Mus musculus: one gene and its partner. Each later gene encodes a partner of the first gene's protein in a complex. Links are inferred from orthologs where the notes say so. Each region holds a gene or a part of one and is shown on either strand. Other genes may lie near its edges.

The links.
Region 2: Mybbp1a (region 1) and Dek share a complex: the UniProt entries of both Homo sapiens proteins name them as parts of the B-WICH complex. The link is inferred for Mus musculus from reciprocal best matches to the Homo sapiens genes MYBBP1A and DEK.

Annotation. Positions count from the first base shown.
Region 1 is NC_000077.6:72,447,747-72,451,399, forward strand, and holds part of Mybbp1a (myb-binding protein 1A), read left to right. Parts: coding exon 1-136; intron 137-209; coding exon 210-380; intron 381-470; coding exon 471-631; intron 632-985; coding exon 986-1,217; intron 1,218-1,296; coding exon 1,297-1,428; intron 1,429-1,514; coding exon 1,515-1,583; intron 1,584-1,973; coding exon 1,974-2,087; intron 2,088-2,246; coding exon 2,247-2,348; intron 2,349-2,879; coding exon 2,880-3,028; intron 3,029-3,130; coding exon 3,131-3,653. UniProt on the Homo sapiens protein: May activate or repress transcription via interactions with sequence specific DNA-binding proteins. Repression may be mediated at least in part by histone deacetylase activity (HDAC activity).
Region 2 is NC_000079.6:47,099,625-47,103,277, reverse strand, and holds part of Dek (protein DEK), read left to right. Parts: intron 1-1,203; coding exon 1,204-1,305; intron 1,306-1,545; coding exon 1,546-1,655; intron 1,656-3,009; coding exon 3,010-3,104; intron 3,105-3,653. UniProt on the Homo sapiens protein: Involved in chromatin organization.

The sequences.
Region 1 (3,653 bases):
TGAGGACAATAAGAACTCAGAGAGTGACATGGACAGTGAGGATGGGGAAGAAAGTGAAGAGGAGGACCGTGACAAAGATGTGGACCCAGGCTTCCGTCAACAGTTGATGGAAGTGTTAAAAGCTGGGAATGCATTGGTGAGCAGGACCCAGGGGAGAGGGGGTTTGTCCAGCCATTTAAGGGTCGGCTGATGGCTCTGCTGTGTCTCAGGGTGGAGTGGACAACGAGGAGGAGGAGGAGCTTGGGGATGAGGCCATGATGGCCCTGGACCAGAACCTGGCCAGCCTATTTAAAGAGCAGAAGATGCGCATCCAGGCCCGGAATGAGGAGAAAAACAAGCTACAGAAGGAGAAGAAGCTCCGACGGGACTTCCAAATCAGGGTGAGTGTACTGGTAGTTGCCATGCACCCTGAGCTGTTCCTGCCTCTCCCATGTTTCTGCATGAGCTGACTCTTAGCCTTTTGGCCACAGGCACTAGACCTGATCGAGGTGCTGGTGACCAAGCAGCCTGAGCACCCCCTGATCCTGGAACTACTTGAGCCACTGCTGAACGTGATCCAGCACAGCATGCGCAGCAAAGGCTCCACCAAGCAGGAGCAGGACCTCCTGCACAAGACCGCCCGCATCTTCATGTGAGTGCACACGAGTTACCCACCCCTGGGTTCTCACGCTTGCGGCTTCCTGTGCATAGAGGAGAGGTCCCATCCCAGCCATCACTGTTAGAATAGTTGGGGATTCCGACAAGCCCACTCTGTTCCTGTCTCTGAGGACATAGAACTTCATCTTACTTTACAGAGGCCAGAAGCCACTGTCCCACAAGACAGATACACGTAGGAGAGGAGGGACACTTTAGAGGCATCAAGTTTCTGTCCATCTCTAAGCTGGTTTCCTAACTTAGCAACGTGACTTGGGGCTGCTCTTTGCTGTACTTGACAGAGCAAAGTAGAGAGACACCTTTTGACCAACTTTGCCTTTCCTGCCCATAGGCACCACCTGTGTCGTGCCCGCCGCTACTGCCACGAGGTGGGGCCGTGTGCAGAGGCTCTGCATGCCCAGGTGGAGAGGCTTGTGCAGCAGGCTGGCAGCCAGGCTGATGCCTCTGTCGCCCTATACTATTTCAATGCCTCTCTGTACCTGCTGCGAGTCCTCAAGGGCAACACCAATAAGAGGCACCAAGATGGTCATAAGTTACACGGAGCTGACACAGAGGACTCAGAGGTGAGCCAGGGTCAGCCCTGCTCAAGACTCTCCCTCAGCCTTCTCCCTGCTCCCAGTCTCACCCCAGCTCTCTCACCAGGACCAGGCTGCTAACTGCTTAGACTTGGACTTTGTGACCCGGGTGTATTCAGCATCACTGGAATCTCTTCTGACCAAGCGTAACAGCTCACTTACGGTCCCCATGTTCCTCAGCCTCTTCTCCAGATACCCAGTAAGTATGGGAGCCAGCCTGTCTGTTGGGAACTCTACCCAGCCCAGTCCCCAGCTAATGGCCTCTTGTCCTTCCCCAATCCCTAGGTGATCTGTAAGAACCTGCTTCCCGTCCTGGCTCAGCATGTGGCTGGCCCATCTCGGCCCCGCCATCAGGTAAGGGGCTGTCAGAAACACCTGGACAGTCTTCTCACTTGAGAGGCCTGCGTCACTGACCTTGGCTGTGCTCGTGCTGTAACTCGTGATTGGCACAGAGGAACTGGAGGAACCTTGCTCTCTGGCCTGCATAAGAGGGCTTCCCTTGTCGGCTTAGATGCCAGGGCTATCAGACAGGCTAGAGGGAGATCAACATGAGGTCGATCTTGCTTCTATCCAGTTGGGACCACTGCCTCTCCAGGCCTCGGCAACCCTTTTCCCACATAAGAAGAGAGAAATTGATGATTGTAAGGCCTAGCACATGCAGCCTTCTCTAAGTTTCTGTGAGTTCCTGAGTCTTGACCTGACATACTGGGGTTCCTACTGACTATTACATTCGCCTTGATGCAGGCCCAGGCATGCCTGATGCTCCAGAAGACTCTGTCTGCACGAGAGCTGAGAGTCTGTTTTGAGGATCCTGAGTGGGAGCAGCTGATTACCCAACTCTTGGGAAAGGCCACCCAGGTAATAGCTGTGAAGCCCCCACCCATGAACTTGTCCCAGGTTTCTGGTAACCAGATTGCTTGGAACACATTTCCTCCTCCTGGGCCACTGTTAGGTGTGGGATGTAGAAAGGCCTTGGGCTGTTCTCAGGGGTGTCTCAGTGTTGGCCTTCCTCTGTAGACCCTGCAGACTCTTGGGGAGGCACAGAGCAAGGGGGAGCACCAGAAGGAGCTATCCATCTTGGAGCTGCTGAACACTCTGTTGAGGACAGTCAATCACGAGGTAAGGCAGCTGCCCGGTAATCAGTGCCCAGGTGGAATGGGCAGCAGTTCTGACAGTAGTCCTCCCGGGGGTGGGGGGATCTCCAGAGGAGTGTGGCCTGGGAGCCACATGAAGGTTCCAAGGGGAGGATTCTGGCCTTTTAAAAGATTAAATGCTACTGGACCTGGTAGATTGGGAGGGAGGCTGTGTTACTGTGTGCCAGAAAGAAAACTGAGATGTTAGTAATCAGTGAGAGGGGCTAGAGATGAGGCTCAGAATAGAGGGGCAAGAGTTACTCATGAGCCATCAGGATAGAGGGCCAGAAGACCACTGGAGATGGGCAGGTGGCTGAAGAACTACAAAAGCAGAGACCCAGGACCCTGGCTATGGAATGGGAGTCAGTGCCAGTGGTCCTTGCTTCCTCCACAACCAAGGGACTAGTGATGTAAGGACAGAAATGGTTAAGGGACTCAGGAGCCACTGGGAAGACCCAAATGCTGGCGAGAGGCCATGTCACCACCACTGCTACTCCAGCCTGCCTTTCCTCTGCAGAAGCTGTCTGTGGACCTCACTGCTCCCTTGGGCGTGCTTCAGAGCAAGCAACAGAAGCTGCAGCAAAGCCTGCAGCAGGGGAATCACTCATCTGGCTCCAATCGCCTCTATGATCTCTACTGGCAGGCCATGAGGATGCTAGGAGTCCAGTATGTTCTGGGAGAGGGACCAGCATTGGGCATGTGGCTAAAAGGACTCTCCCTCCAACCAATACTGCACACACACACACTGTTCTGTATCCTTCCTTACAGACGTCCAAAGTCAGAAAAGAAGAATGCCAAGGATATTCCTAGTGACACCCAGAGCCCCGTCAGCACAAAGCGGAAGAAAAAGGGATTCTTGCCAGAGACCAAGAAGCGAAAGAAACTTAAATCTGAGGGCACCACACCAGAAAAGAATGCTGCGTCACAGCAGGATGCAGTGACAGAGGGTGCCATGCCTGCTGCCACTGGTAAAGACCAGCCCCCCAGCACAGGCAAGAAGAAAAGGAAGAGGGTAAAGGCCAGCACCCCATCCCAGGTGAATGGGATAACTGGGGCCAAGAGTCCAGCTCCCAGTAACCCCACCCTAAGCCCCAGCACCCCTGCCAAGACCCCAAAACTGCAGAAGAAAAAAGAGAAGCTGTCACAGGTGAATGGAGCCACTCCTGTGTCCCCCATAGAGCCTGAAAGCAAAAAGCATCATCAGGAGGCACTCAGCACAAAGGAGGTCATAAGAAAGTCCCCCCACCCCCAGTCTGCCCTGCCAAAGAAAAGAGCAAGGCTGTCTCTGGTG
Region 2 (3,653 bases), on another chromosome or scaffold:
AGAGAGGGTTGTAAGCTGCCATGTGCTCAGTGGCTAAACACTGGTCCTCTGAAAGAGCAGTAAGTGCTCTTAACCACCGAGCCATGTCTCCAGTCCCTCACAAAGCATTCTGTGTCTTGTGTGTGGCTAGGAGTGGTGCATATGGAGGTCAGAAGAGATCTTGGAGTCATTTCTTTTCCACCATATTCATTCTGGGCTTAGACCCCAGGGTATTGGACTTAGATCACCAGACTGGACAGCAAGCACCTTACATGCTCAGGAGTCTAGCCAGCCAGTCTCACACATTTTATATCTATTATCTTTTTCTCTTCAAAACTGAGGATTGAATCTAGGGACTTGAACATTTCAGACGTTTATCATTGAGCTATATCCTTATCCCTTATATATATCTTTCTTAAAGATATTTTACACTATGTATGGTTTTTATTTTCCTAGTTGAATTTTCAAAACAATGAGTATTTGGTACAATTTGGACACAGTAGGTATTCATTTGAATGAATGAGAGGACCTCCACAAAATAAATTTTGTATTTGACTAGATTTCAACCAAGAAGTAAGTGGTTATTTAAATATAACAATGTTTTAAGCTTTATATACCACATATTTCCTGGGGTTTTCTTAGAAGACTGGATTAAAGGGTACTTAACTTTCTCAGACTGACTTACGGACATTATGAACATTGTTATCAAACTACAAAGTAATGTTTAGCCAGCTATCTTAAAACAGGTACCAAAATACAGTAGAAGCATGCTCCAGTGTTTATAGCACAGTAGGATGACTGCTTAGCTTAAATAACTTATTACATGTTTGTATGAACATTTAGAATTGTTCAGAGACTCAGGACAAAATAAAATGAGTTTGAAATACTAATTATCTTATTACAGTTTATATACATATAGATTAATTCTTTTATGTATGAGAAAGAAATAAATGAGAAACTAGATGATTTTTTTTCACAAGTCAAATGACTAATCTTAATAGTGATAATTGTAATTAGATGGAAATTTCTGATATTTTAGATTAGGTGTTCCACAAACGAGTAAAATGTTACTCTTAAAAAAATAAAAGCTTTCACGGTGTTTCATTCACTTCTCAAAACTAGCTCAGGAGGAAGTAAAGTGCTGAGTTCAAGAGATCTTCCTAACCTGTTTATAAAGTTGGCATTATTTTAGCTTTTTGATATGTAAGAATTATTAATTTCTAGAAAAGAGTCTTATCGTGGAAGGCAAGAGAGAGAAGAAGAAAGTAGAGAGACTGACGATGCAAGTGTCTTCCTTACAGAGAGAGCCATTTACAGTGACACAAGGTGAGTGCATATTGCTTTTATGGGAAAAATGCTCAATTAGGCAAAAGTGACTAGCCAACAAATACTTGATACTAGCAGTCTACTTAGTGTTTAGGAAGTAGGATATATTTTTGGCATAATTTTAATTTTCCCTGTTAGCACAAAGTTATCCAAATTATGTGGTGGGGGTAATTTTCATTAAATTAACTTTGTAGATGTTATTAAGGCCTGGGTATTTAATTGTGATATTTTGCTTTTCAGGGAAGGGTCAGAAACTTTGTGAAATTGAAAGGATACATTTCTTTCTGAGTAAGAAAAAACCAGATGAACTTAGAAATCTACACAAACTGCTTTACAACAGGCCGGGCACAGTAAGACATTTGATAAACATCTCTACAATGTTTTTTGATCCTTAATATATTAAGATGCTTCACCTTAGAGCTGTAATTTTCATTCTGTAAGACTTTAATGATTAGCTAGTTCAATTTCTATACTATACTAGTGAGTAAATTTGAGACACACATTTGTTAAGGCCATGGGGTACATGGTAAGGACATACCATGGTAAACATAGCTGGTAATGTCTATGGCTCTTTTGCTTTTCCTCCTAACTGGGTCTAGAGGAATAGTTCAGAGATAGATTGCTCTGTAATACCCAAGGCCCTGAGCTGAGTCTCCAACAGCACTACCACCAAAACAAAAAAGGAAATGAAATTTGCTCCAAACTGAAAAATCTAAATTATATATACAGTCTGTAGTGACTTTTGGTTTGGTTTGGTTTGGTTTGGTTTGGTTTGATTTGTTTTTTTTGAGACAGGGTTTCTCTGTATAACCCTGGCTGTCCTGGAACTAACTTTGTAGACCAGGCTGGCCTTAAACTCAGAAATCCACCTGCCTCTGCCTCCCAAGTGCTGGGATCAAAGGCTTGGCCACCACACCCGGCTCTGTAGTGACTTTTAATGATATTAGAATTAATTTGTTTTTCAATGTTCTGGCATTGTTCCTTGTAATTATATCTTATTTTAACCAAATACCCATAAAAGAAAGTGGCAAATTTTTGCCAAATTATAGTTATTATATCCTACTACATGTAACTGTATTTGAAATGAAAGGGGTTGTTCATCTCTGTGGGTGTTTTGCACGCATATATATCTGTCTGCTCATTGTGTGCCTGCGACAGTATTAGACCCCTTGGGCTGGTGTTACAGATGTGCTGAGTCAGCCACCATGTAGGTGTTGGAAGAACAGGCAGCCATCTTGCCAGGCCATATAATTATGTTTGAAAAAAAAATGTGCTTTGGGTTGTATGTGTATAAAAAAGGTAGAGAGAGGATGTCTGAAGCATGGTCTAGTTTATTTTCACTCACACTAACCTCAGTCTGCACAACAATCTAATTTACACTTGTTTCATAACTAGTAAACGGCATTCACTTTTTAGAATACTTACTTTACTTTTCAAAAAAATAGTCATTGACTAGTAACTTTCTACGTTTACCTTAAGAACAATTATGGTAAATATTCCTAGGTGAAAATACATTCAGATTCAGACTGTTCAAAAAATTCAGTTTGTAGGATTTTCGTAATATTAACATGTTAGTAGTAAATACACTTTTGTTGACTAAATCAATATTTTAACTTGGAAGATGGATCTGAAAATGAAGACTCTGTCTTTGACTTTTTTTCTTATACATTACTGGATAGTAGCATTAACAATAAACATTTTCAGGTGTCCTCGTTGAAGAAGAACGTGGGTCAGTTCAGTGGCTTTCCATTCGAAAAAGGCAGTACCCAGTATAAAAAGAAGGAAGAAATGTTGAAAAAGTAAGTTACTTTTGTAACTACTGTGTTTGACTAATGCGCTGTAAGCTTACATTTATTAAGATGAGGACCTGCTCATTTTCTAGTAGATTGCTAACTAATTTCGCTGTCAGGGTTTGACAGGTTTTTCTTGGCATTAGCTTGGGGGTTGTTTTTTCTGTTCTGGTAAATATTGACTGTTATAATTATTGAGAGCCTTTAAATCTTCATTTCCTAGAAGATACAAGTACTCACTCAGAGTTCAGACTTGATAAGGTCCGAAGGAAATAGTGAAATATATTTCCGTTTCCTGCAATTACTGTTTGTTTCTTAATGTTTTAAACTTGCTTTGAAAGTAACCCGATGAGAAATTTTCCATATGTGCTAGCAAGGTGACAGACTCTTAGAACGTTTTATTAAATGCCATAGATAAGAATTTAAATAATAAAAATGAAATATTGTAATGCTGAATCACTAACCCAAACAGTTTTCAAACCCATGAATGTAGTATTAGAAACATATAATTTTCTAGTGCGTTTATTTAGACTGTTGGTAAATATTCTTCATTTTCTA